Oreochromis niloticus: one gene and its partners. The protein of the gene in region 4 purifies or fractionates together with the protein of the main gene of each other region. This does not show direct contact. Links are inferred from orthologs where the notes say so. Each region holds a gene or a part of one and is shown on either strand. Other genes may lie near its edges.

Region 1 (6,967 bases), on a different chromosome or scaffold from region 4:
GGATTTCTATAAAATACTCCTATAGGCCATACAAATGTTGGCACTCACAGTGCCCTAGGCAATGTTTATACAAAGTTTCATCAAGATTGCTACACTTGTGTTGGAGGCGATAAGGAGCATACAAAGATACATACGCTATGATCATTTTAGTATAATTAGACATTTGTATTTTGTATTATTCTAACCAGCTCATCTTTGTTTGTGCCACATTTAAATAGAGATGAGAGAGATAAGATAGGAATGGAACAGATGGATGAACAGACAGCCAAAAACACAATGCCTCCAGCCACGGCTGTCCCGGGTATCGAGGCATAACAATAAATTATCACAGCAAGCTGTAAAAGAGGTCATTATGAAGCAGAAATGCTTACTTGAGGTCTCCATCTGTAACAGTGTCTCCCAACCCCCCGATGTAGAGAGTGGTGATGGATTTGTCCTCTGGTGGGTCCAGTCGGGGCATAGTTGAAGCCCGCTTTAGCAACTTGTCAGCCACTGGGTCATTGATGCCATAGTAACGATCCTTTATGTTTTGGTCTGCTAGAGGGTCATCAGGATCTGTGGGCTTCTCGTGCCTGTGTAAAGAGGGCAACCGAAAAACAATAAATATAATATGACACTTCAACTAACCCATAGCGATGTCTTAATATATGTGAGGTGATATTAAAAGAAAGAAACAATCGGCTCCATGGAGACTAGCATCATGGCACTCACCTGTAGGGACATTCCTCCCCTCTCTTACACTCTCCCTTCACCCAGAAGGAGCAGATGTGTGGCCGGTTCCTCTTGTAATATGGTGTGGTCCGAGCCAACTTCAGCAACATATCACTAGAACTTGGAGCCTTACCAAGCTGGCCCACTGGCCGAGTGCCATCGGAATTGGCTATCTGTAAACAAAAAAGTCCAGAGAGGCATGATGGATGGAAAATCTCTCTCTTATGTTTGCTTAAAAAACATTGGATCAGACATTGGACCAGTAAATACTGTTATCACTGTGCAAGCATACTGCAGTCATGAGAAAGGAGCTTTTTTTTTTTTTTTTTTTTTTACCTCTCTCTCCATGTTCTGTGTGTAGTACTCTTTATTCACATCTGACCGAGGAACCTCATCTTTAACGGAGAGTCCAGTGTCTCGGACTTGGATAGGCAAACCTGTCAAACACAAGAGATGGCAGGAGGGTTACGCTCAGAACTACATAAATGAGGGGCTCATGAAATCTGCACAGCGACAAAACCCAGAGGAGCTGGTCCGAGAGACTCACCATACTCCAGGTCCAGCAGACATGTCTGACAAACATTTTTCATTTTACTGCAGGTCTGACAGACTTCTGTCTTCTTGAAACGCATACGTGTTCCTGGACACCATCGGAACACGGTAAAGGGCCGAGCACAGATCTGATAGGCGGAGAGCAACGTATTAGAATAGAATAGTTCTTTATTGTCATTGTACATGCATCAAACAGGCCTGTATACTGTGGGCAATTTATAATTTAAACAGTTAACACGAAAGAAAGAAAAAAAACCATACCTTGCATTCTTTCCCATATTTTTCCTTGGTCTGTAAAACAAAGCATGAACATATTTGGACTTGCACATTTGCTGATATTAACACTACACAAAGTGTTAAAACAGTCTTGAATTTGCTATGAAGACACAGGGATACTCACTCACCATACGAATGTAAGGATTTTCTCCTAAACATGTCTGACACAAAATCGGAAAATCCTGAGGAGAAAGAAGAACTGTGAAAATCAAGCACTGTAATCCGGTTTATCCAACAATCCCTTGAATTAAGTTATTCAACAGACCAACTTGGCTCTCCATCTCTGCTTCACCTTCCTTCTGCTGTGAGCACCTTGGCACACGTACAGGTAAGAGTGAATACAGGGAGCGCTATGGGTCCTATTTTGCCATCTGTTAAAGGATGCTGTTTCAGTCCGAGTGCTGGGTGCTGAAAACGGCCTTGCCCTAATCCGTCTCCCAGACAGCATCAGCCAAACATCTAAATATAAGCAGATCTTATGGCTGAAGCGTCATCTACATAATCTAGGGTTGCAAAGTTTAGTCTAGTGTCTTAACAAAACTAACATTGGATAAATGTCCTGTGGTGTCATAGCTCAATTAGGGAAAGTGATTTGTTGCCTTATAGGGTAAATAATCTTTAGGTAGGTCACAAACATGTTTTGTGTTTCCTTTATAAGTAATTAAGGACTGGTCTATTTGTGACCTTATATAACAATCACTGTTGAAATAGTGCCCAGCAGTGTAAAGACTATTTTTATAGACTAAATTTTCTCTAACATTTTCACAACACCGCTGTCAAACCTGCCTAACAAGAAGGTTTGGTTTTTCAATGTCACTTTGCTTATGCGACTTTACAAAACAGTGGTGCCACCCCGGACTGTGTGGCTTTTTCGGTTTCTTATATTCATTTATATAAGCAAACTTTCACCCGCCTACCATCGTTTTAGCATTGTTAGCCTGCTAGTGCTGGCCTTCATAGGTGTAGCCAGTTAACTATCACACAGCCCAGGATTAAATTACGTTAGCAATGATAGCTGTGAGCTCAGTCGCTGTTGTTTTTACTACAACCTAAAAATATGCTCTAGTTGGATCCAGCGGAAACAGGTACGTTTCATGAACTAACGTAAAATATCGTAAGCAACGATGTATACAGGTGAGCTATTGAAGCTAGCAGCCACGCTTCTACAACTAGCTACCGCTAGCTAGCGGAAGGCTAACTACCAAGAGAACTGAATAGTTTAGTAAAAAGCTAGCGTGTTTCCCGATTATATTTACTCATAAAATGTAACTTAACATCAGTCACTGGAACCACTCGGTAACATATAACCCCGATAAAACGTACCGCGTCTTCCCAGTTCTGTCTGTTGTAAGTGTTGGAGCCTAGGGAAGTCGCCATTTTGCTGACTGTGGAGCAACCGGAACGGGTTGCCAGGTCTCTGCGTCAAAAACCACCCCAATAGCCAATCAAAACTGGCGCCCACAGCAGCCAAAGCTGGTAGCGGTACAGGCAGCGGTCGGCAGAGAGTACCTGTACGTGGATGACATGTGAGCTAGACTCGGTTTGCTGGGATATGTAAACATGTATGTAACTACATATTAATATATGAATTGTTTCATTTCAAAAATGAGTTTGTATTTATAGATGTACATGGAAGCTCCTTCGAAAAGAGTCTACTTAACCAATAATTTGTACTCAACCCGCCGGGGGGGGTAATGCAGCATTTTAACCTTAGCCCAGTTACGGGAAAACTGCAGAACTGGCAACCCTGCAGATCTCGCTGTACACTTGGCGAAAATTTTTAAAGTGACTACTGTTTTTACTTTTAGGTTTGAGTCTAGATTAAGATGTGTTCTATCAGGACTCAGTTTGAGGATGAGTTTAGTTTAGCGGGATGTGGGAATCTTGTGTAGTCTGCGAGACTACAAAAGCCCATAATGCACCTCGGGCCAGATAGCCACGTTTCACCTAAGGATGTCGCTCTATTTCAAGAAACTATCAGGTTTACGATAAAATAAAATAGGAACGTAAATATCAGAGAATAACTGTGAGCATTGTAGAAATACTAACCGTGACTCGTCCATCTGCACCTTGGGTGTAAACCTGAGTGTGTTTTTGCTTTTCCCTTTGGCTCTATGACACGAACTGTTAATTGGGACAGTGTACAATAATAATTTACCTCAAAAACATAAAACGCAACTGGTGTTTTTGAGTAAGTCTTAAAAGTCAGTGACCTAATATGATATCGCTTACAACCTGTGGGGAGGTTTAGAATGACTTTAATGCTTTATTTGCTTAACTGAGGTGCTGATACAGAGATATTTGTTGTAAACAAAGGCTGCAAAGTGCTATTTCCGGAGACAGGGAAAAACAGAAGACAGACAGACTGCTTGGCTGATGTGTGAGAGCTTGTGTAAGCCAATTGTGTCCTCGACACACACACACACACACACACATAGTTTGTCTGTCCACCTGCTCTGATTCAGGTCAGGGTGTCTTTGCGGTGTGAAACTCCAATTAGTGGGCCAAAGGATGTTGAAGATTACAGATGGCAACTAAGTCCCTAATGTTTATTTAAGGTCAGAGCGAGGTTGTGGAGTCAGAGGGCAGGGATTAGATGGAGGTCTGGAGCACTGGCAGCATGCAGCTGCCCTTCAGCAAGTCAAGATGAAGCGTCTGGGATTCTTTATGGCCACCTCCGAGTGGAAAATCCCCATGTTGTCCTTTTCCTTTTGATCTCTTACTTAGATTTAGGATTTCAAGTATAAACTGGTTGAATTCTATGAGATAGGTGGCTCCATTCATTAATGATTGAGGGTTTGAGTAATCATATTTACATAATAGGGGAGCAGATGGAAATTTCCACTGGCCTTCTCCTGTTGTTTTCCTTCAAATGGGGTGAACAGGCAGTCTCTTGCCCTATAGCACAACAAAGCAAACCTTTTGGGCACAGCCCTTTTGTCCTAATGAGTTTTCTGACCCTTTCTCCTTGATCACGTGAGCCAAAGTTGTTTTGAAGGACGGCTTTGTCTCGGATTTAGCCGGCCTGTAATTAAAATCACCAACCGCAAGAGTTACAAGGTCAGAGGACGTGTAGGTGTGCTGCCGCATCTCAGATGCTTCGTGTTACAGAGCCGCTTCAAGGAATCATCGCCTTGGTACTGTGTGAATCTGTTTGGCACATGACATGACAGACATTTGGTTGTTATTTAGGCTATTTTGGACCATTGTCACCAGTTTTATTGCACATGATTCAAAGATATTGATGTTTGCTGTGAAATGTTTTGTATTATTAAGCATTACTAAGAATATGGTTGCAATTACAAGTATTCTATTAGACATACCCTTCACAAGATAATGAAAATACTGTAGGTTGAAAGGATAACTGTAGTAATGCAGTGATAAAGCCACTATGACTCAACACTGTGTAAGTGATTCTTATAAGGAAACAGAGACTGATGCAAAACCGGTTAAATGACCTAAATGTTGGCTCCTTGTTGCGCACAGCATTGCTTTCCCTCAACTACCCCTTTGCCTAAAAAATATCTAAAACTTTTAAGTGCAATTTTAAATAGTTTTCGACAAACGTGGAAGCACAAGAAGACAAATAATCTCCGCATTGTCGAGCAGGGACGCTCCCGCAGTAATCTCCTGCAGGAACAAGATCGCACAGTGATTTCTTTGAGGAGTTCTGTAGCTTGCATGCATGCGCATATCAGAGGGAGGAAAAATGCGCCGCGCTGGCGCCTCCTGACGACAGTTATGGGCTACTGCCTGTGCACAGAGCTGCAGAAGAGAGGGTCTTTCTCACATTTCCCGATTTCTCCCAGCCGAGTCCGCTCTGCCCGCTTCCACATCACGGCCGACAGCAAACCGAGACGACGTGAGACCGGCGCGCTTAAATCACCACATTCAACCCGGCCGGCCTCGTGTGCACAACATCCGTGCGTCGTCACACACGGACAAGGTGAGTGAAAATCGACACGACCGCACGGAGCGTCGCGGTGTTTTTGCTTGTATTTGGTAGGCGACCGAAAGCGTCGTCGCTCGGTCTCCCCAGGCCAGGCTAGTTGTCTGGCGCAGACGGAGATGAGGCCAGTTTTTTTTTTCCGGCCTGATCTCCCTCTCTTTCTCTCTGCCCACTAGCTGGGAACATAAAGCCCCGGCGTTGTTATTATGGTGGCGGCCCCTCGGCACAGATTTCACGCTCGTCCACGTAGCAGCGGAGATCGAGGCGCTAACGTTATTGTCGTGGAGCGGGTCGGGTGGAAGTTTGTGTTCAGGATAGAGCCGCTCCGTGATTTTCACGGGAATTCCTTTATCGAGTGGGACCCGGCGGCACAGCTCGGCACCGAGCAGAACTGCTTTCTGCAACTTTGTGGCTCAGTGTGTACGGTGTTAAGAAATTATCGCCCTCCCATAAGTTTGCACTATCCGGCCGCAGTGTTAACAGCAGACCTGTTACAGTGCTGTGGTTAAAAAGGCGAATGATAGTGTGCGTAAAATAAAAACAGATTTATGCGAGTGTCTGCTGCGCGTGGAAGAGGCGGACAAAAGATTAGCACGGGAGTGTAACTAGTGCTTTAATATGACTTCATTTGATTTAGATGATCATATTTTTTCTTGAAATTTGCTCGTAAAAAGCTGCTATTATGGGATGTATCAGATACCTGTAGGAGTCATCTAAATGCTGGTGTTTGTTTATGTATTTTTCTAATTTACTAACTGTTTACAACTAATAATGTGAAGCTGATTAGGTCAAATTATTAACCAGATGAGGTTTTTTTTTATTCTGAGAAAGTGGGACATTTTCAAGTGCACGAGAGAGGCACCCGGTTCTGATATGTTTACATGTGGCTTGGTGGTTGTTGTAAAAGGGCTCCAGCCATGCACAGAAGGAAGGCTCAGATACGATTTGTGTCTTCTCTCTGTGAGCCTGCTTTGTTGCTCTTGTCTGGCGTAAAATAGAGCAAATGCATGCCTCCACCAAGCACCGCATCCGTTAAAAACTATAAAGACTTAAAAAAAAAAAAAGAAAAGAGAAAAAAGGGGGGGTTGGCAGTCCAGACCTGCCTGAAATCTGTTGCCTTGGGGCGTTGGAGCATGGAAGTGTGCACCTCAAGTGACTAAGAGATTACTAAAGAACAGTGACTCACGCTCAGAATGTATTTGGCAAAGTCACAAGGACTTTCCCTGCATTTCCCCTCAGCTGCAGAGCAAATTTTTGCAAGTGAAAAGCGGTGCCCTGCTGATTTTTATGTATCAAGAGATTCATTTGACCATAGCTTCACTTTTTTTTCTTTTCCTTTTTTGCTATTCCCAAGCCATGTGTTGTTTATCAAATGTCCCACCCTGCATCTGTGGAGAGAGAGAGAGAAAAAAAAGTGGGGCTTATTCCATTTGCAGATTATATTTTTTAAGGAGTGAGGTTGCTGTCATTTGTTTGTCA
Region 2 (7,951 bases), on a different chromosome or scaffold from region 4:
AAAAAATCTTTCGTTTTTATAAATGAACACTTAAATATTTTACATTTTTGCAAACTCACTTTTATTCATCTGAAACTGAAAGGCAATTCTGTCATCTGTCACAATCAGCTTATTCTGGGAAACGGTGGAAAAGCCAGAGGTGTGCACTAACCTCAGTGGTGACTCCTGCCTCTCAGCATCTCGCCTCCTGACCTCTGGTGAGCGGCTACGGCGTCTCTGGGGCGAGAACCTAGTTCTGGAAGGAGAGTGGCTCTGTTTTGATGTCCTTTCTGAGGCACTAGCCGAAGGGTAGCGGGCATCTCTATGGCGAGGGGAAGCGCTGCGTTTCCTTGCAGGGCTGTGAGCCCCTCGTCTATGAGGGGAACGGTTTTCCTTTCCTAAAGAAGTGTCCTTGGATGGTGACTTGGCTGGCCGTTTGTCCCGGTCAGCGTCTGAGCGACTTGGCCGTTCCCGTCCAGGCGATCTGGACCGTCGGCTCACTCTTTCCTGGTTGGGTCTATCATCCCGCTGCGGAGAGGACCGTTTATCAGTGCGGCCGACTTTCTGCTCTGCCCTGAAGCTGGAAGGAGAGTTGGACTTCCTTCTCTCCTTGGACCTATCAGTGCTGTGTGAACGCTTCCTGTCTTTTGACCTGCTCCTTCCACGCCCTCTGTCTTTTACACCTGTGTCCTTGGTGCTTTTGGTCACCTTGTCCTGCTTAGACTCCTTGGCCGGCTTGTCTGCAGACTTACTCCGACTACGGCGTTTGGAGCTAGACTTACTGCCCTCTGTTGAGTCCCGTCTAGATTTGCCACTTTTTCCTCCTCTGGGTGATATAGGTTTACCTGAGCTGCCCCTTTGTCGTGGTTCTCCATTTCTGAACCTTGCATCTCCATCCTCTTCAGATCCAGAGTTATACCCCTGAAGAATCAAACCCATGCCAGACTGAACTTTTCCCTCCATCAACTGGCTGTCAAGTTCAGCTTTGATCATGGCCCTCTGTTTCTCCAAATCCTCCAGCAAGGCCCTGTCATCCAGACTTGGATTTCCAGAAGAAGGAGAAGATTCAACTTTTCTATGAGTAGAGGAGCCAAAGAGGACAGCGGCGGAGGGAGAGGAGCCCTCTTTGCGTTTGTGTTTCCTATGTTTGTGACGATGCTTGCGTTTGCGGTCCTTGTCCTCATCAGAGGCATGTTTGTGCTTTTTGTGCTTACTGCGATGCTTGTGTTTTTTCCGCTTGTGTTTACCGCTACTGCTGTGATGTTTGGACCCCTCCTCTGTCTTCTCGCCGTTAGTTTCAGCCTCCTCCTAGCATGTGAACATACCAGGATAACAATCAATTTAGTTGACAGATGATCTTTGTAATTCTTAGTTATGGTGTAAACATAGATACAATCTTGTTTTCTTTGAGTTTTTACCACCTAACAAACCTAGACTGTATTCAGAATGACTGATATAGACAAAAAGTGTTACTAAATTTTGGTTAAAGGTGATCTTACAGCAAGTTATAGTAGCACAGTTTGTTATAGTTTGAGATTTGTGTTAAAAGAGATGACACCACTGATGGCATTTAGGTCCTCACATTGTCAACCCCTACCTCCTCCTCCTCCTCTTCAGATATGTCGCCACTGTCCTCATTTCCACTTCGTTCATGGCTTTCCAGATCTTGCTTCCTGTTTCAAAAAAAGAATATTTAATTACTTTAGTGCTAAATTATTTGGCTGACTGAAGTCAAAAGGAAACAAAGGTCTAAAAAATACACGCAACTGGGTTAAATATAGTTTTTGGACTGGTAGTAGGAACACACAGCCTGACCCTGAATGCAACTGATAACATGCCATAGAATGAGACACACAGAGTTCTGCCATCTGTCCAAAATACTGACAGGTGCTTAAGTTTAAGTAACAGTGTCTGGGATATAAAAAACTATGATAATCAACTAAAAATTTCATTTACACATCAAATCTTTTTTAAATCTGGCAAAATAGGAAACTCTGTCCAATTATTATTTCTTTAACACACAATGAAGTGAACACTATTCACAGCAGCAAACATCATACAACATCATCATCAGTGGTTTTAATTTTTATACATGCACATAAAAAAAGACCATAAAGCTGGCTATTCTTTCCTCGAGGTAACTTGCAGACATCGTGAGCATTTAGTCTAAAAATCAGTCCATAGATTACACAACATTCATTTCCGAGTTTAACCCATCATCGCCCGAAGTGTAGCATTTTAGGTTACCGTAAGGTGTTTAACATCAGGTATACCGGGATTATATAATGTGGTCAGTTTAGCAGGAAACTGTAGAAATACTCATCAGAACCACTCGTTGATGAGAAAGTGACACTCGGTAAATCCCCGTGTAACCTTCACTTGCTCCCTCTTTCCCCGAGCGAGACCGCCAAGATGATTTTCACTCATTAGCTCTGACATGCTAACCGTCTTTAGCAAAGTTAGTGCTAACCAGCTACATCCCGTGAATAATTTTAGCTATGCTAACTTACATTACATAATAGCTGCTTGGGAGGGAGTACAAACCTTACACTGTGTGTGGCTTAGCAGGTACACTTTATTGAGGCAAATACACACAAACGCGGATGAGGTACACTTCTGCATGCTATCACCGAAACTTAGTGCTAGCCGCGCTAAAGAACGTTAGCTAGCTAGCCAAGAACGTTAGCCTATCTTGAGCATGCCCCGGCAACAACGTGAACCTGCTACTCCGTTAGCCCCGGCGATGCTAACACTTCCCTTCATTTTCGACCTGAAAGAGGCCTATAACTTACTGCCACAAACTTTAAATATCTGTAATTTAATAACTTACACGTGCTCGTTGCCATTATTCATTCTCCTGGACGAGATGTCCATCTCAACGTCGGCCATTTTCCTCAGCTGAGGGGGCTTTTTCTTCTTCGGCTACTTTCACCACATGGGTACAATGATATCAAAATACTGACACGTTCCTCTGGTGTTTTGGCGGCGCATCGCAGTCAGGATTTGTGCACTGAAGTCTGTTCTTTGTCCACTAGAGTGTGTGCTCGTGTAACTTGAAATGTTCATATTAGCCACTTACGTCACACACATATACACCCCCCCTCCCCGAACAACTGCCAAATTAAAATTTTTGAAAATTTTTGGTAATTATGTCAAATCTTTCATCTATTAAGCATCTTGAAATTTCAAGTTATTTCTGAGTGGAAAATTTGTAATAAGCAATTCGAAATGTAAAGTTATTAACCAAAGTTTTTAAGTTGAGAATGTTGAAATTTCGTGTTATTATCTCAGAATTTCGAAATGCTAACGTACAAATGGAAACATTGCAGAGTAAGTCAGTGTTCTGAGATACGCAACTCAAGAAATTAAGTCATTATCAAGAAATTTTAAGGTGCGTTACTCGAAATTTATATTTACTGTTTGTGTACTGTATGTATTGTCCTGTATGTATATTTAAAGGAGCGAGAGAATAGCTCTTTTAGCCAGTGTGACTGTTTTTAATGTGGCTTTTAATGATCTGCTGTTGTGTGTTATTCACATGTTTGTGCTCACTTGTCCGTATGCAATATATTATTTGTTTTTTACTTGTCATATTATTATGCGTCGTATTTGCTGTGGCTTTTGCTGCCCTATTGGCCAGGTCTTTCTTGGAAATTAGATTTAAATCTCACTGAAACTTTTCACCTGGATAAATAAAGGATAATAAAAACAAATGTATAATAAATACCCCACAATGTACTTGATCTTTTTTGAATTTTCGTATTTTTTCTGTATAAATCGATGGGCGACCTGAAGACTTGGATACAGGATTTTAAATGACCACATTGGCTATAGAAAAACTGAAAACATAGTCGTGCAAAGGACAGGCTGTTGGAGCCTGCTCGGTCTGCTTTTACCACAGGATGGCCCAGGAGGTTAACTACAGGTGGATCATGTGTAGTGGTTCACGTGGTTGCTGAAAACCCCTCGTGCGCGTCACAATTGCGCACCTCAGTGTGCGCCAATGGTCAACAAAATGACACATGAATGATTACAGTTTTATCTCCAGTGCAACATTTTAACAGCAATGATTTTGCGGAAGTTACTTAGTATTATTGTGGTAAAAATAGAACAAGTAAAAGCGTCTCACTGTGTGATACTTGAGTTCTGTGTCTGAACTTTATTGCCTTTTATTTAAAGAGGATACTGTAAATAAAAGGCAGGTCATTGGTCAGGTTCTTGTACCTTAGAGGAATGTGCTTTTTGTGTGAGTTTGTTAAGCCACTTAACACTGACCTATGAATCATCCAAGCATAAAAAGACACATAGCACAAGGGATGAACCAGTATAATGCCTACACATGACAGACAACTTAGCTAAGATATTTCCATACATCCTAGCAAAAAATGCAGAAATGATCAGCGCTTCAACACTTCTACACAGTTCTATAAATAGCCTTTTACTTATGGTAGTCATCAGACCTGCAAAAACAAGAACAAGTCCAGTATCAGAAAGTGGTAATCCTTCTGCAAAGGGGAAAAACAGCATGTGACTCTGAAAGACAGAGTTAAAAAAATACCAAACACCACATCTGCTTTATCGTGTTGCTTCATACAAAATGCAAAATCTAGTCAGACAGATCTGAGGCATCATGTTCGCAACACAAAAAGTTGCGAGCTGTAAGCGGTAGCTTCTGAGCACAGCTCTGTGAAACCGCATGACTTTCAAGGATGCAAGCCCATTCAAGGGCTGGGCATTATCCACTGACAGTTTTATATCAAGCAGTAAATTGTGGTATTGTGAGACACCTGTGGCTGCTCCACAACAGTGACGAAGTAATGGAAGCATGAAGACATAACGGTGTTAATGCTGACATCCTGGCAGATGGGATGAGATTTTCTGGCAAATGATGATACTGCAGATGGTACTATTATCATCATGTGTTTGCTGACATCTTGATTTGTGTATGCTTGAGTACTCTGAAATTTTGTTTACAAGTACAACAAGTATATACCGAAAAATACCCAACGCGACTTGAGTTTTACTGGAACCCCTCTCACATAAATCCACACTGTATGTACAGAGTATAAACACAGAGAGTCTCAGGATGTAACTCGCAGCCTGGGCCTTCTGTCGTGCAGCCTATCTCAGATTTATATGGTAAAGTTGCAAGCTGGAGGTCTCACAACTGATTAAAGTCTCTGTCACAGAGACATTAGATATTCCATTAGTTCACAGCCCCATCCCAGTGTCCCCAGTAAATCATGGCAGTATACAGTACGAGGCAAATGTTGTATACTCCATTCTGCTGTGCAATCTAAAGACCAATCTCTGTGTCTTACATTGTATGACTTATGAGGTGTGTAACTACTTATATCGTGTAACGATATAAGATAAGATCTTCAGATGCAGGAAGCTTTATTTTAACAGTTCCTATATCCTTATTTTAGGTTAAAAATCTGATTAAACTTTACATCTGTACAACTGTAAATCTAGAATAAATCCATCTGACTTTAATGAGAGTACCATTTCACTGTTTGGCACAAGTGTCGAATAATAGCAGCAGTAAGCTGTAATGCTAGAAGGATAAGTAATGATTACATACTTTGGGAGAAGGTGCTGATCACAACATCCTGTTTCAAGTCGAGAAAGTCCGAAGCATCCTGACGATTGCTGCTATATTTCGATCCATACCCATAAATGATGAGGCCCTTAATCAGAACATTTGTCACAGAGTTAGAGCCAGATTGGATAGGGCTGTGTGACATGCCAGCTACCCAGAGGCGAAGCCAAGATATTGTGAATGTTCCTCTGTGGCTAGCTGCAGTATATGTCAAAATCAGTTGAACCAGTTCATTTATAACTAATTTGTTTTCCTTCATATTTAGTGATTATGTCTTTTAGAGCTCCAGTCTTCCTTTTTCTAGGGATGCTTTTGATTAGCATTTTGATGCTATTTGATCAGCATCATTGTGATTACAGAGAACAACATATGCAAAATAAGCTGCTGATGAAAAATAATGTGTTTCATCTTGTGAGAATACTTGTTTAAAAGGTCATAATGCACATATGGGCTGCTCAACCACGTACTGATACATGGACATGCTGTTACCTGTATTAATCTCTGGCTCTCTTTCACAGCATGTCTTTTGTACTGTCTTACTTTTCTCTCCCCAACCGGTCGCAGCAGATGGCCCCGCCCCTCCCTGAGCCTGGTTCTGCTGGAGGTTTCTTCCTGTTAAAAGGGAGTTTTTCCTTCCCACTGTCGCCAAAGTGCTTACTCATAGGGGGGTCATATGATAGTTGGGTTTTTCTCTGTATGTATTATTGTAGACTCTACCTTACAATATAAAGCGCCTTGAGGTGACTGTTGCTGTGATTTCACGCTGTATAAATAAAATTGAATTGAATTGTTAGCATGGGTAAAAACTGCACCTTTGCACAGTTATACAATGACTGTGCTCTAAGATCTGCAGCCACATTACTGATGAATGGACATTTCACAAATAATGGCGCACTGACACGGTAGATCTGATTCATGACTGCAACTCGTATTTCCCTGAGAAAAAAACCCAAGCAGACATTAAGCCTACCTTGACTTTTCAGCCCTCTGCTCTTTGGGCTTTACTGGAGACACAATAAGGACGGGGCCATAAAACATGGGGTCCAACAAATGCTCGCTGAAGACAACCACAGTCCATTATAGAGCCTGTTAAAGACGCTCAGGCAGTTTGCTAACCCGCTGTCACCCTAGCCTCTGCACTCTTCACTGGGTTTTGTCTGCTGCTGCAGACAAAGATAGAGTTATAGCTCAGAATGACTTCCTCAATGTGACGCTTAGGCAGCTCTTCTAAATAAAAAAAGAGCGCCTGCTCCTATCAAGCAGATGTCATTTGTTCCCTGACAGATGTATCCATATTTTTTCTTTCTCTTGTCTTCTTAACAGTTTTGCTTTACGAGCCTCTGTTATTTACTTTTCTGAGAGAATAAGAGCTGGCATACAATTTACAAGGGCAAAGAAGTGGGTTTGGGAGTATGGGCTAAGCATATGGCCATACTCCCTGAATCGGGGGGATTCAGTTGATGTTTGCTTTAAGGAAAGGATGAGAACAACCAGAAAAAACCCCTTCTGAAATCCAAAACAGCTCAGACCAGTTGGGGCAATGGACACTGGGTTTGTTCCACTGTGTACTGCAAATGCCTGATCAGTACTGGAATCTGGGAAGTTGGAATCAGTTTTTTTGTGCTGTTCTGGGTGGGGTGCCTTTTCCATGGGGTGGGGTGCTTGCTTTGCAGTGTTTAGGTGGGTGGCATGTGTCAAAATGACATCCACATGAATACCAGGAGCCTAGTAGATTGTAACATAAGTATCAGTGTTATTCGCCATTGGTTTCATTTTTAGGTTTATACTAATTAAAATTAAAATTAAGAAAGTCTTGTAACTTCAGCCAGACTGGGCGGTGACTTGAAGTTCATTGTGGACGTTAAGATCATCAGTGTAGGTGCAGGGTGTGGCAGAGGAGAACGTCTGTGAAGGGCTGACAAATTAGAAAACAGGAGTTGCAGAAACCCTTAATTTTACTCCTCTCAAGTGCTTAGTTAAGCATGGCTGTAAAATTGCATATGGGTGACAGTCAAAGCCTGTAATGGCGATATTTAAGCAGTGCTGTAGGTCCAACAGCTGCGTCACAAAATAAACAGTGTAAAACCACCCAGGTTACAAACTGGAACTAGTGTACTGTATCTTATAATACTGCCTAATTCATGTGAATTATTTTGAACCTAAACTTGCATTTATTGGGTGTGATCATCGTTTAAAAAGGTTTCAATCACAAGCTCCTTTTCATTAAGGGCGCGTACACGCATTAGATACAACACAGACATGGTAAAAAGAAAGTACATCCTCAGATCAATCGATTACACCATGTCATTATTTATTAAACAAAAACTAAGCCAAATGAAGCAGAGCGTGAAAAATAACGTCTTTGTTCAC
Region 3 (7,225 bases), on a different chromosome or scaffold from region 4:
GCTGCCACTGAAAGCTCACTGGTGCATGTTGTCGCAGTAATCCCAGTACCAGATGGTACCTGTCAGCTCCACCACCTACAAGCAGAGTGCAGCTCTGGCAGTAGCTGACACAAAAACTCAGGTATGGAAGGAGTTCAGTTAGACCGTGGAGAAAGTGGTTACTCTACCACATAAAAACTCATAAAAACCTTACAATTTGTAACATTACTCGTAATAAAAACAATAAAAGCAATAAGATAATTGCATTACCTTTTTCATCAGCCTGTGGATCTTCTTTACTTTCCTCTTCTTCACTTGTTTCTTCACAGTATTTTGAGGAACTCCTGTTAGACCTCCACCCCTGTGACATGACGAAAAATAATAACCAAAACTGCTCTTTAGTTTCCATTAAAAAAACAGTGACTTTAATAACACAGCACAACAAAGCCAAGATGAAGTGTGACTTACTGCTCTCCTCTGCTCAGACGAGCACACAAAGGCTAAAGGTAGGCCCATACTGGCCATCATCTGAGTTTCTTCATCCAGCTCCTCCACCTCAGTCTCCTCTTCCTCCTCCTCTTCACCATCATCTACGTCTATGAGTTGAGAAATGTATTTTTAAAATCATGGCAACTAAAACTAGACAGTACAGCGAGGTTAAGAGAGCCACATTCTTCTACAACACAGAGTATTCAGTGAGAACACCAACTCTTTACCAAATTCAAGTCCGTCTTATGAGATGTTAGAGAATCAGAATCATGTTCCTCAGAACCTGCTAAAAAACACGTACCACCAACCCCAATTCCTGATACATTTCATAGATGATTATTTTAATCCCCAGTACTATTAAATATCATGATAGGATAGGATATACCTTGTACAGTGTTTTCCAGGTCAGGCAGAAGTCTGTTATCAGAACGATACAACTCTCGATCCCTGTAAAGAGGCGATGGACATAAAGGACAGATGTACTGTAGGACATCCATAGATGCATCTGTACATATCAGCGTATCCACTAAAACTCAAGGTTTTTGGGTACTGAGAACAACAACATCTAAATGACTGTGAAAATATAAAGTAATATACTTGCATTCATACAGAGTTTTTCTACTCCTATTCAACACTCAAAGCATTTGACATGACACACGATATTGCCAGAAGTATTCATTAAATCGTTAAATTCAGGTGGTCCAATCACATCCGGGTGTATAAATCAGCACCTGGGCATGCAGACTGATTCTACAAACATTTGTGAAAGACTGGGTTGCTCTTAGAAGCTCGGCGAATTCCAGCGTGGTACTGTGATACGATGCCACCTGTGCAATCTTGAAATTTCCTCGCAACTAAATATTTCACAGTCAACTGTTAGTGGTGTTACAACAAAGTGGAAGTGAGTGGGAATGACACCATCTCAGCCACAAAGTGCTAGCACGTAGTGCACAGGTCACCAACCTTTTGCAATTGCTACAGAACTCCAAACTTCACATGGGCTTCAGATTAGCTGAAGAACAGTTAGGCAGCTGCATTGAACGGGTTTCCATAGCTGAGCAGCTGAATCCAAACCTTGCATGACCAAGCGCCACGCAAAGCATCTAATTCAATTCAATTCAATTCAATTCAATTCAATTTTATTTATATAGCACCAAATCACAACAAAAGTCGCTTTATATTGTACAATAGATCGCACAATAATAAATACGGAGAAAACCCCAACAATCATATGACCCCCTATGAGCAAGCACTTTGGCGACAGTGGGAAGGAAAAACTCCCTTTTAACAGGAAGAAACCTCCGGCAGAACCAGGCTCAGGGAGGGGCGGCCATCTGCTGCGACCGGTTGGGGTGAAGAAGGAAAACAGGATAAAGACATGCTGTGGAAGAGAGACAGAGATTAATAACAGATATGATTCGATGCAGAGAGGTCTATTAACACATAGTGAGTGCAGTGATGTAAAGCATGCTGCTATTACTAGACTTAGAACAAGCACTCTGTGGAAAAGTAAAAATCTCCTGCCTTTCATAAGCTCCAGTATTTGATAACCACCAATATTTAAAGCTTTAACACAAACACCTCTCACAGCCTAAAGGGAATTTTTACAAAATTAATTAATTTGAGCAGAGACTGTGAGCCAGGTCTTCTCATCCAACATCCTTGTCTGACCTCACAAGTACATTTCTAGAAGAAAAGTAAAAAATTCCATGAACATACTCCTAGAAAGCCTTCCCAGAGGAGTTGAAGCTGTTATAGCTGCAAAGGGTGGGACAATATCATGGGATGTCACTCAAGTGCATATGTGTGTGAAGGCGGACGAGTGAATACGTTTGGCAATATAGTGTATGATAAGTTTCCACCGCTCTGTGTGCAAGACAACACCTCTCCTGGTGTGGCAGCTCATACCACACACTGCTCATCTTTCCAATTCAGACTTAGCACACAGTTGCTAACATTTTCTTGTGGAGTTTAGCACACCATTGTACTAGTAACAGTAGCAGCCTTGTAATAACTGCGATTTATTCAACTGTGATTGATATAACTTTTAAAAACACTGCTTTGTGGTAGTCTTCAATCAAGTCAGTTATACAACAGTAAATCGGCTATTCATTAAAACGACATTTAATACACGAAATTTCAAAGATTTGACTGGTTTTCATTTCTTGCTGTCTTTTAATAATCCACACTGGCTGGTTGCCATGGCAGCCTGGCTGAGATGTCAAACACCGGTTTAGATCAGACTGTTGTTCGACATGCGGTAAATGAATTACGTGTATGAGAATAGCTCTAGCGGACAGAGGAAAGGTGGTGGAGGCTCACTGTACGAAGGCTCTGGAGCAACGACAATGAATCGTTTCTTCCTCCTGCAGTGACTCCTTCTTGCTGAAGATGATTTCCGCCACCAGGGCTACTCTTCTCATTTCCAGCATCATGGCGGTTAGCTCGCTACAACAAGAAACACACTTTCATTTACCGACGAGCTGCTCGCGTCTTTAAGCAGCATGGGACTCTTTCCTTTATTATTGATTATTTCCGCACTAGAAGCTAACAGCGGATTTTCCGCTATTTTTCAAAATAAAAGTTGCAAAGTAGTTTTTCTTCGGCACATTAATGTAACTATTTTTACTGAATTTATTACACTTTTTTAATTTAATGGCACCTTTTGACATTTTCCACTTTTACTTTTGAGGGATATTTTCTAATTCTCTATGACTGTATATAGTTACTGTTTGAAAGCTGGTGCAATTCAGTTTTGTTTTTATTTTGAAGCGAACGAGTCGACCCGGAAACTCTTTATTGTAAGCCAGTAAGAACTCTTTCATCGGTACAGCACAGTTTTAGGATAGAAATCTGTGACTCTGTGTTCCCCCAACGACGTTCCGGGTTGATGAACAGGATAGTTGATAGCTCTAAGAAGTATAGGTTTTGCTAGTGTAATACTGAATATCGTGCTACATTCTAATGGCACGCTTTACCGAGTAAGCAGTCGGTAGGTACCGTTTTTATGTTTGTAACCGTGGAGTTGGCTTATTGAGAAATGTCAGATTTTCCGGCTCCTTCAATGAGACTTAGCTCTCAGTCAGTTATTATACCGTAGCCCGAGTTCGCTGTTGTCATTTTGCTGATCAAATGTAGCCTCTTCCTATTCCCAGTAAAAAGGTGGTGGTGTTCTAGATACTAATGCTATGTAAAGTTGCTGTCATTTGATTTGATGTTAAAAAGCTGCTGGTGTTTATTAGAAATTGTAGTTGGTATAATACGTGCTATTTACATCTTTTCTGATCTGCGTAATCCACTGCGACTGTGTATTTGTAAATGTAGTCACAGAACTGAGTTAGCGGTGTCCTCCTATACCTCCTTCTTATGTAGCAGCCGGTGTTCTCTATGCAGTCTACCTGAGACCTGATCTGAGCGTCACTCGGTTGAGCTGGAGTTCTCGTGGCTGAGAGCAGAGCACTATGTCAGGCACTGGCAACCAGTCATGTCTGACGGGCGCGGAGGACACTCTCTCTCTCTTGGTATGCATCCTGTCCATGCATTACAGGCACCTAGGACTTGATAATGAAATCGAGCTTACCTAGAAACAAATGTGTTATTTATTTAACATCAGCTTTGGTGTTCATGCATTATTTTATTTTAAGACGCACACAATACAACAAATTTTCCATAATAGAGGGTTAGCACTGTTGCCTCACAGCAAGAAGGTCCTGAGTTCAATTCCACAATCAGGCCGGATCTTTCTGTTTGCATGTTCTCTCCCAGTACTCCTACTTCCTCCCACAGTCCAAAGTGCTTGGTGAATTGGTGAGTCATTGCCCATAGTGTTAGCCCTGCGACAGACTGGCGACCTGTCCAGGGTGTAGCCTGCCTCTTGCCCTTAGACAGCTGGGATAGGCTCCAGCCCCCCACAAGGAGAAGCAGAAAAAGATGCATGGATGGATTTTCCACAATATGTTGGCAACAAGTGGATAATAAGTCCCACAGTTTGAATAATGGGATGTCTCTCCAGCCCTCTTTGAGGCCCTCTCCTCCACAGAGGAGGCGTTCAGATCGTGGGCCCCACGCCATTCTAAATTTAAATGTAGATAATTTGTCCCGAAATGTAGTTGTTATTACGATCTCACCTGGTATTACAAAGAGTGTTATACTATCACTATGTCACATGTTAAGTTGTGAAAAGAGCTTCTATGGTGTCAATCGCCTAGAAACTCTAGATTCTCCCTCAGTGGTATTTTATGTCCAACTGTAATGTTACATAACACTGTTAACCAGTTTTTAAAAGTAATGCTAATACAAACAAGAATGTGTTGCGTATTTTAAAGTTACCTATCCAGTAATTATTGAGATGTTTTCATCTGGACCAAAGTGATGGATGTTAGTATTGACATTCTGGTCCTGGTCAACAGGTGTGTTTGTTTCATGCATGGGAGGAATGGGCAGGTCTTGATCAAGAGGACTATCTGAGTGTCTTGGAATACCTGTTGTGGGTCTTCACACCCCTAGCCATCGTCTTCATTGTGCCTTTCCTCATCGTTATCTTCCTTTACCTCTCTATACTCTTCCTTCATGTCTACAAGGTACGTAAACAGTCCCTACAGTCTCAGTCACATAAATAGAGTAACACAAATCAAAGACCTTCACTGTTTAGTTATCATCTACAGTTCCCTCTATAATGTTTGGGACAAAAACACAATTTTAGTAGCTTTGCCTCTCGACATCTGCACAGTATTTATAGGACTGTCTGACTGAAGTGCAGACTTTCAGATTTAAGTAAAGGAGTTCACAGCTATTTTTTTTTTTTTTTTACATAGTTCCCTATTTTTAGAGGGACAGTTGACTGGCAAGCAGTTTCATGGACAGGTGAGGCCTGCTCACTTGTTATTTCATAAAAAAATAAACCAGTTGATTCAAAGTATTGAGTGGTATTTTATAGTTTTATATATGAGGCCTAAGTAGGGATGGGAATTGATAAAAATTTAGTAAATCCAGTTGCATAATCAATTCTCATTGAGACCATCTCTAAGCAGTATGTCACAGACATTAAATTCATGCATGGTCAAATGTCTGTGCACACTGGAGGTGTTTCCCCAGTTTGTTGTGATCAGTGTTGGGATCATTACTCCAAAAAAGTCATTACTGCACATATAACACACAACACTTTTCTTCAAAGTAATGATTTCTTTGAACTGTTCTTTTTCCAGGTTTGGAAAGATTGTACAGCATACATCTTTCATTACTTTAAAAAGTAAAAATTGGGTGCACAAATTAGAAGTTATTTTGGATTTTCTCTAATTCAATCGGGAAAGTCTTCAACACTACTTTAGATAAATAATGGTCTCTCTATACTCCATGTAATGTCAGGAAGTTGGCAATGAGTCGTTTACTTTAACCTACTTACATCAGACATTTTTGACTATGCTTGTTGACATCACACCTTTTTTTTTTTAGCCTTTATAGGATAGAGACAGTGTAGATCAGGGGTCGGCAACCTGCGGCTCTTTAGTCCTTATATTGCGGCTCGGAAAAATAAATTATAAGTATTTAACTGAAGTGTTTTTTATTTGTGTTAGTTCTTTTTTAAAACTTGTAGTTCTAAATTGGAAGATTATTGCGATCTTGAATAATAAAAATAAAGTTATATTTTATTATTTTCGTTGTTCAAAATAAGCGTCACACTCTTTGAAGCCGGTATACCCGCCGAAACGACGTGCGTTTACCGAGACTTTCAGCCCCAGGTAGGCCTAGTATGGAGAACTGTAAGAAAAGAAAAATATCTGAAGAAAATACAACATTTAACGATGCCTGGGCAGAGTCATTTGTATTTACTTCTGACGAGAGTGGCCTACCAGTATGTCTAATTTGTGGCGTGTCGATCTTCGGATCCACATATGTATGTGAGCATCTGTTCTCCACCATGAACTATGTTAAAAACAAACACCGCACACGCCTCACAGACGACAGCTTACAGTCCTGCGTAAAGATGAAAGTGACTTCGTACAGCAGACGCTGTGCGCAGAGGTTCAGGAGCAGAAGTCCGATTGTAAACACATCACGGCACCGACGATGTTTACATGAACATGCTCTTCAGCATCTCTTTATTGACCACTTTTCACACACACAGCCGGCTGTAGCTTTCCAGCGCACAGCCCGACACATACAAACAAGAGCAGAGAGAGCAAGCAGGTGAGGCGTGATTGCGGATGCCACTCAGGTACGTCTGCCTCTCCTGCAGCGTCACTGCGGGCCACGCCCCGCGAAGCACATTAACCCGGTAAAATAAATATTATGCAGATATGTTGAAAATATTTATTTTTAATTTTTTAGGAGCATAGTGCTTTTTTCCAATTATTTTTTAAATTCTGGTCAAGGCTCCGCTCCGGGAAGCCCAGAAGGCGATATAAGGATGACGGCTCACTGTTTTTCTTTTGCTACATGGATAATTTAAGTTCAGCTTTTTAATTCATTTAAAAGACACCTTCAACTGGTTGACTTTATTTTTAGTTATTATTTTTTAAGGGGTGACAATGTGTTCATTACATAAATAAAATTTAATTTTCTCCGTCTTCTCTTTGCTGACCCCTGGTGTAGATGGACAGGAAGAGGGGAGACGGAGAGAGAGGGGGGAAGACATGCAGCAAAGGGCCGCTGCTGCTCTCGGGCCATACGGCATATGCTCGCCTGCTCGCCCGCTGAGCTAAACCGGTGCCCCAGGCTGTTATATTTGTGCTATTACTGTCTCTTCGATTTTTTTGTT
Region 4 (7,343 bases):
GGGTTCAACTAGTGAGCAGTTTGTGGGTGAGGGGCATGTCAAAGTGACATAAGTAGAGCAGGTGTTGCACCTACAGGATATGTCATTTTCCATCTGCCTTCAGTCCAGCTGAGGGCAGGTGGAGGCACCGACAGTGATGCTTTTACACTGTAAAATGTAATATTGTGTTTAATTAAAAATATTAAATAGGCTGAACTCAGTTTTTATCAATTTGTTATTAGAACTCAATTTAAATAAGTTACCAGTACTTTTTATGCAAAAACGCTGATAAACTCAATTTATTTGAGTTGTCTTAACTTAGAAAAACTAAGTAAGCTGGAAGTTTTGCTTCTCAGTGCGGAAGGATGAAAGATGTGTTTTGAAAATGCCACGTGACTACAGTCCTCCTCCCTCTCGGATCAGTCCGCATGTTCACGGTGCATTTTTTATGGAATATGTTGAGCAAACCTGGAGAAGCGTCAGCTCAAGATATTATTGTTGTCATTGCTGTGGATCTTTACCTGATACACTGACTTGGTGAGTAAATGTTTACTCTTATTCAAACTGATTTGTGGCTTCTCTTAGTTTAGCACCAGGTTTAAAATCTTGCTAGCTAGTTAGTGTTAGCCTAGCGTTGCTGCTGCCGCTGGGCTCATGTTACTTAAAAATTAACACCACAGCCTTAAAAACCTTACATAAAACTATGTGGTGAAATTTTCTGTTGATTGTTTGAAATAAATAAGTGAGATAAGAGCCCAGACAAAATTCTTCGGGAGGTGCAGCCGTTAGGGGTGGGGTAGGTGTGGGATGTGGGGGGTGGATAACAGAGCTCTCCGAAAACGTGGAAGCACTTTTGCAAATATGTGATATTTTGATAAATTAAGTAGATATTTGAGCATTACACAGCTACATTCTCGCCTGAAAATATCTTAAAAGGTTATTTTGTGACCCAGAAAGGGTAGTCTGGGGAAAAGGAGGATCGCATTTGTCGGCCACGGTTGTCGGAGCCTGTGCGTACTTGTAAGCGCGGCAATGGCGGAGGAGCGCCGCTGAAAAACTTATTACTTTTTCTGGGTCACAAAATAAACTTTTAAGATATTTTCAGGCGAGAATGTAGCTGTGTAAAGCTCAAATATCCGCTCGATTTATCAAGACATCACATATTTGCAAAAATGCTCCGACGTTTTCGGAGACGTCTATTTTTTTTTCATGCTTTGTGGCAGCTTTAGAACATCTGTGGCATCTATTAATGTCAAATCTAGCCTTTATTTAACAACATAAGCAAACTCTATGTTACAATGATTGCACAGCCATTAAGGATCAAATCAGTTTCTGAAAAATGTTCTGTTTTTTCTCCCTCTGCTTGCTTCTTACTGTCTTTGAGGCCGATCGGGACCAGCACTCCTGCTGTTGGACAGAAAGACATCAACTCAGTGGTAAGTATTTTGGTTTTCCAATATATTAGCAACTGTCAGTGACATTTATATTAATCAGGCTGAACTTTAATCATACTTTAGATCAGCCTGTTTTACTTATTGTTTTATTTGTGCTTTGGTTTGGGGAAGTTGTTTCTTTACTGATCTTTTCCTGTCTTCTGTTATTAGACTTGAGATATGACTGCACTATGCTGTTGCTGGTGACTCCAGTTAATTCTACAAGACATGCTGTGTAAGTAAACAAACAACAACAGTTTAGTCTGCATTTCTTGAAAGATCACATCCCCCAAACTTAGTTTAGAGGGTCTACACTGTATATAGTGAAGTCTGCAAGTTTTCTAACAGCAAAATTTGTTTTGTGCCCAAAATCATTTTGCACATCATTAGAATGAAAGTTATTGGCCATGTTTGCATAGCCCTTTTTAAAATGATGCTTTCATGACATTATTGTATGCTGGGTGGTGGTCACTATGCAGACTGACAATTGGGACATTGAATGTCACCTCTCCGGTGGGGAGGGAGCCTGAGATCGTCTAAATTGGAGTCTGTTCTATACCAAATGCAGAAAAAAATGTTTTAAGAAAGCAATTAAGTTCATGTTCCAAAAAATATGACTATTTGCTTGCAGGACACCAGGAGAGATGAGTCCTCCGTCACAGATGGTGTGGTCAGTGAAGATGGTCGCCTGCAGGTTCAAGCTCATTGCATCTCCAACCCACATCCACTGCCAGTGTACTTAAGGGAAGTTAAAGACTTTCTTCTGCACCTACATTTGGATCACCTCGATCCATGACAGTCATTCAGGCAGTAATGCCTGGACTGGAAACAAGCCATCCTTAAAATAATACAACATTCCAGCTCATGTGTTGGAATGCAAAACAAATGTGTTGTTTAAATTAGAGACTGCACTTGTGACAGAACGATAAATATTTTATTCTGATTATATAAGTAATGTAAGTACAAAACAAACTGTGGTAGGCCTAAACTTATTTTCAGAATAATTACATCTGAGACTTTGTTTCATTGTAAGATTATAACAGTGATGGCAATATAATTGTTTGTTGTTCAGCAGAACAGTGTCCAGTATGTTGGCTGTTGTACTTTGTGTTTGAAAATAAAAGTTGGGCTCATTTTAACATCATTACAAAAATTGTTGTTAATTATTTTTAATCATATTCATGTTACCACAAATTGTTTTTTCATTTAGTTGAGCTTAACATTTTTGTCAGTAGGTAAACAATTAGTATTGTACAGTCAGAAATATCAAGTTATTGTTAATACTGCAGACTTGCAATGTATAAGTTGTCCTAACAGTCATCTTAAGTAAGCTTTACTTAGTTTTTTTGAGGCAACGAGTTTCCATAATTTTTTTGAGTTCTGGGAACTAACAAGGCTGTACAGTGTACTCAAAATGAGTAAGTTGCCCTAACTTGGTCATCTTATGTAAACTTGATCCAATTTTTTTGAGTTCTGGGAACAAATGAGCTTGTACAGAGTACTCAAAGTAAATAAGTTGACCTAACTTAGTCATTTTTAGCTAAGCTTTACTCAATTTTTTTGAGGCAACGAGTTTCCATAATTTTTTTGAGTACTGGGAACTAATTAGATTTTACAGTGTATTTGCTTTGAACAGTAATCAGATTACAATTTAACTTTTAAGTATATTATCATGAGGCAAAATAACTTTAGTTGTCATTTTGATGTGTATTTGGGATCATTGTCATGTTGGAACGCTGAGTTATGTTCAATTTTCAGTCATTTAGCTGTTAATTTGAGCTAAGTTGAAGTTTATTGAGGTATTCATGCTAAATTACAATGTCCCAGAACACTGGCAGCAAAACAGCCCCAGATAGAGCATGATGCTACCACCGCCATGCCTGACAGCTGGTACAGGGTTCTTAGGTTTGATAGCCTGACCTTCACTCCTCCAAACATTCCTCTTGTCATTGTGGACAATTAGCTTGATCTTTGTCTCATGTGACCATAAAACTGGCTTCAGAAGGCATTTGTCTTGTCTGTGTGGACAGCTGCAAATTTCATTCAAGCTTGAAGGTGTCTTTTTGGAGGGGGGACTTCTTTCTTGGTTGATAGCTATGTAAAACTGGCTTCACTGTGGACAGAGACATAGGTGTTCCAGAAGTTTCTAGTTCATGGCAGGCTTGAGCCTTAATGGTTCCTGGGTTGTTCCTGAATGTCCCAACCAATTTCCTCTCATCTGAGAATGACAGTTGGGGTCTTCTTCAAGACCTCAAAGTGTTGACACATCCAAATGATGCATGCAAACTGATGATCTTTGAATTTGCAGTTGTTTACAAATGGCTCCGAAAACCTTTGTAAATTGTGTAAATCTACAATAATCTTTCTTAGATCTTTACTGGGTTCCTTGGACTTTCCTATTATTCTGAATCAGAACCACTTATTAAAAGATTTAAGTTAATTTATACATTTGAGACAGTATGTATACTTTTGAAAATCCAAAATAAATTCAAACTTGCGCACCCAATTATTTTTAAAGTCATTAAAGATGTATACTGTACAATCATCCCACTCTAGAAAAACTAAAGTTTAAAGAAGTAATTAAAACCCCCAAATTATTGGAAACTTCTGACCACATCTGTACATATTCCTTATTTAGTATGTTCTTTGCGCCACCTGCCTGCAACTGATCGTATTGAAGATTATAAATGGTTGCTATCCTGTCACAAATCACTCCTGACATTGTCTCCACCCGCTCCATCCCTCCTCCACCCTCTTTTTCTCCTTTCTTGTGCGCTGTCCCTTGCTTTGATGGTTGACCCCAGCTTGTTTCTCTCATGTCTCTCATGGTCTTAACGGTTTCTGTTCTGCTCATAATAAGCAGTAAAATAAATAAATGAACAATGCGGTTTGGGTGTGGTGTGAACCCCTGACCGCTAGGTAGCGGTGTGTAAAAACACGCAGACTCCTCAGGAAGCAAAGTGCAGGACTTCCGGTCGGCGGTAAAGCGTGTGCTGCTGTGAAGTGCAACGTTATTGTGACGAAAGGATATCAAACGTATACCTTAAAACGCACAGTGCTTATTTAATTTGAGCTAAAATGGTGAGTAAAGCTCGGAAACACTACCTTTTAGCTTCACCGGATGTTTTGGGGGGATTTTTTACTCAGAAGGGCGCGGGAATAGCGACTAGCCTGTTAGCTGGTTAGCATAGGCGAAGCTAGTATCTCATTCATAACTTTATAGTGAATGAATGAATCCTCACACGGAAAGCAGCCTCGCATTTTATGTTTATCTACGGAAACATAATTCGGCTGGTTTCAATGCTTCCCGTTTATTTGCTGTTTGTTTATTGGCGCTTTTCTTCCTGCTTGAATCCGTAGAGAGTGTCGCACCAAACTTCATTCAGAAAACGTCTAATTTAACTGCCACACAAACATTTTGAAGCTAAATACTTATAATAACTTGATCATCATAAAATTTACGGTTTATTTTTTAATCGTCTTTGTCTTTGAAAGATTGTGCAAACTGAAAGGAAATGTGCAAGAGCTCTTTTTAGAGACCTGATACCTACTATAGGATCACAGACCAGAATAAGTCACTGCATATGGTTTTGATTTGACATGTACGGGTATTACGATGCTAAACCGTAGCTGTTTGTTTCATTGGGTCTGAATTTAATGTGTGTGTATTTATCTCTGATTGGTCTGCTTCTCCAGAGTTTACCTCTGAACCCGAAGCCCTTCCTGAACGGCCTGACTGGAAAACCAGTGATGGTGAAGCTGAAGTGGGGCATGGAATATAAGGGCTACCTCGTGTCTGTGGACGGGTACATGAATATGCAGGTATGGATCATTTGCCTTGTTCAATTACCTAAAATTTGTTCTACGGTCAAATTTTGCATTGTTTATAGACTAGATATTATGGTAAGAGAAACTGAGACTCGATTTCAAAATAAAAGCAGTTTTTAGCTAATGTGATTTTTAACATTGACAAGCGCATTTAGTTTGCCATTAATGCAGCTGCTGTAGCATGAAAGGTGACTTGGATTTATTTTTCTAAACTTTGTGTTATTCCATATCCAAGTAAAAACAACTGTTAGCCCAGAGTAATGTGTTACCTTTGCCTCCCCTGCTTCTTTCACTGTGTTTGAAGCAGCATACACAGCTCTTCTCTTAGAAGGTTGTTTTTACTGTTGCTTAATGCAACACAGAACTCCTCCAAGCCGTCAGCACACAGTTCCCCTGCATTACCCAGCAACAACAGAAAACTCTTTTGTGGACAGGGATAGCTCAGTAGGTAGCGTGGTCGCCCCATGAGCGGAAGGTCGGGGGGTTTGAATCCACTGAACAGCTACCCTGAGGTACCCCTGGGCAAAGTACCGTCCCTACACACTGCTCCCCGGGTGCCTGATTAGTGGCTGCCCACTGCTTCACTGAGTGAATGAGTTAAATGCAGAGAAAGTAATTTCCCCACGGGGGAATAAAGTATACATTATTGTTATTATCTTTATCATTATTATTATCATTATTATTATTATTATTATTAAAACTCGAGTAATGTGTTCATGGGGTCACACAAGAACCTGTAGTATTTTCCTGTTGAAGGATAAAATGACATCATTGCAAGGAAGCATCATTCCAGTGTTGGGTGGTACACCAGTGACTAGACAGTCACAGAAGAGGGGACCTGTGTTAACTCAAAACTGTCCTCACTTGTAGTTCTAAACATACACCCTGATGAAAATGCACACATATTAATATACTTAAGACAACATCAATAATCCACCTCAGGGAAAACATCCTGATACTCGATAATTTGTGAAGTATGAACAGTTTCTACCCTTAAAAACTGCACATTTATAGAATTACACCACAGGCTATGCTAAACTTAAAGTCAGAGTTTTCTGTATCACCAAAGTGGCTCTGTTTTTACCTGGTGAAATCACTGTGGCAACTAGGATTACATTTTTTTTTTTTATTATTCTTTTATTTAGCGCATGTTTTAAGTATGAATTTGTGCAACTGTGGCGACTGATCATTGCTATTGTCACTAGTCGGTGCTCAATGTACAAGTCATTTAATCTAATTACATTTTATTTAAAGTCCAATGATGGTGAATTGGTGTCCTAAATATTTATACAACCATCTGCCACCAGATGGAGCTGCAGCAACAAGATTTTTGTAGAAAAATGCCATAACTTTGCTAGTCTGGGCCTGATCGTATTGTTAAGGCTCTTTTTAGTTATTTTGATATACAAGCAGTAGAAATGAGCTTTCTCCAAAGGATGGCTGGCCTCTTCATTAGAGGCTCACAGTAGAGCCGCTGCACCTCCACACTGAAAGGAGACAGTTGAGGAGGTCACCTTCTGGGTGAGGTGTTCTAGGTGGACACCCAGGAAGCACCAGAGAGATTTTATCTGTCAGCTGGCCTGGGAACACCTCAGTGTTTCCCTGGATGAGCTGGAGGAGGTTGTTGGGATGAGGGAGATCTTGGCTTCATTGCTCCACCAATTATCTTACCTGACCTTTGAACTTTGTTTTATTTTATTTATGTTTTTTTTGACAGCTGGCAAACACAGAAGAGTATGTGGATGGAGCGTTGGCCGGACATCTCGGTGAGGTTCTCATCAGGTATGTGAATGACACTTTGTAACGCCGCAGAGAGAAATCAGCGGGAGTCCGAACAGTTTGAAGTCGTCAGACTTGACTAACTTGTGTTAATAATTAAGTGACTGGTGGAAGGAAACGCTTTCTCATGCTGTGCTCGACCTCCACAGGTGCAATAATGTTTTGTACATCAGAGGTGTAGAAGAGGAGGAAGAGGACGGCGAGATGCGAGAGTGATGCTGGGCTGATGTGTGTTTGTGTTTTCACCGTGTGAAACAAATGAGGGTTGGGGTTATTTTTCAAGCAGCTTTGAATCTTTTTTTTTTTTTTCCTACTGTATGTGAG

What was found. The genes of interacting proteins can lie anywhere in the genome.
Region 1: the proteins of snrpf (region 4) and rbm22 purify together in Homo sapiens (co-immunoprecipitation; 3 studies listed by BioGRID and IntAct, counting the BioPlex papers as one, with this or other methods). This does not show direct contact. The link is inferred for Oreochromis niloticus from reciprocal best matches to the Homo sapiens genes SNRPF and RBM22.
Region 2: the proteins of snrpf (region 4) and prpf4bb purify together in Homo sapiens (co-immunoprecipitation; 3 studies listed by BioGRID and IntAct, with this or other methods). This does not show direct contact. The link is inferred for Oreochromis niloticus from reciprocal best matches to the Homo sapiens genes SNRPF and PRP4K.
Region 3: the proteins of snrpf (region 4) and tgs1 purify together in Homo sapiens (co-immunoprecipitation; 3 studies listed by BioGRID and IntAct, counting the BioPlex papers as one, with this or other methods). This does not show direct contact. The link is inferred for Oreochromis niloticus from reciprocal best matches to the Homo sapiens genes SNRPF and TGS1.

The regions. Positions count from the first base shown.
Region 1 is NC_031966.2:25,337,211-25,344,177, reverse strand, and holds the start of rbm22 (pre-mRNA-splicing factor RBM22), read right to left. Parts: upstream 3,016-6,967; 5' UTR 2,917-3,015; coding exon 2,863-2,916; intron 1,722-2,862; coding exon 1,668-1,721; intron 1,555-1,667; coding exon 1,525-1,554; intron 1,392-1,524; coding exon 1,259-1,391; intron 1,149-1,258; coding exon 1,048-1,148; intron 885-1,047; coding exon 712-884; intron 573-711; coding exon 372-572; intron 1-371. UniProt on the Homo sapiens protein: Required for pre-mRNA splicing as component of the activated spliceosome. Involved in the first step of pre-mRNA splicing.
Region 2 is NC_031974.2:14,009,544-14,017,494, reverse strand, and holds the start of prpf4bb (pre-mRNA processing factor 4Bb), read right to left. Parts: upstream 3,016-7,951; 5' UTR 2,869-3,015; coding exon 2,810-2,868; intron 1,653-2,809; coding exon 1,562-1,652; intron 1,288-1,561; coding exon 152-1,287; intron 1-151. UniProt on the Homo sapiens protein: Serine/threonine kinase involved in spliceosomal assembly as well as mitosis and signaling regulation. Connects chromatin mediated regulation of transcription and pre-mRNA splicing.
Region 3 is NC_031982.2:1,809,352-1,816,576, forward strand, and holds the start of tgs1 (trimethylguanosine synthase), read right to left. Parts: upstream 3,016-7,225; 5' UTR 2,908-3,015; coding exon of another isoform or gene 2,904-2,907; coding exon 2,791-2,903; exon of another isoform or gene 2,742-2,790; intron 1,602-2,741; exon of another isoform or gene 1,432-1,601; intron 916-1,431; coding exon 854-915; intron 576-853; coding exon 448-575; intron 341-447; coding exon 250-340; intron 1-249. Other genes in the region: tmem68 (DGAT1/2-independent enzyme synthesizing storage lipids), read left to right, coding at 3,930-3,989, 4,878-5,048. UniProt on the Homo sapiens protein: Catalyzes the 2 serial methylation steps for the conversion of the 7-monomethylguanosine (m(7)G) caps of snRNAs and snoRNAs to a 2,2,7-trimethylguanosine (m(2,2,7)G) cap structure.
Region 4 is NC_031981.2:17,184,195-17,191,537, reverse strand, and holds the start of snrpf (small nuclear ribonucleoprotein F), read left to right. Parts: upstream 1-4,337; 5' UTR 4,338-4,490; coding exon 4,491-4,493; intron 4,494-5,108; coding exon 5,109-5,234; intron 5,235-6,957; coding exon 6,958-7,022; intron 7,023-7,168; coding exon 7,169-7,235; 3' UTR 7,236-7,343. UniProt on the Homo sapiens protein: Plays a role in pre-mRNA splicing as a core component of the spliceosomal U1, U2, U4 and U5 small nuclear ribonucleoproteins (snRNPs), the building blocks of the spliceosome.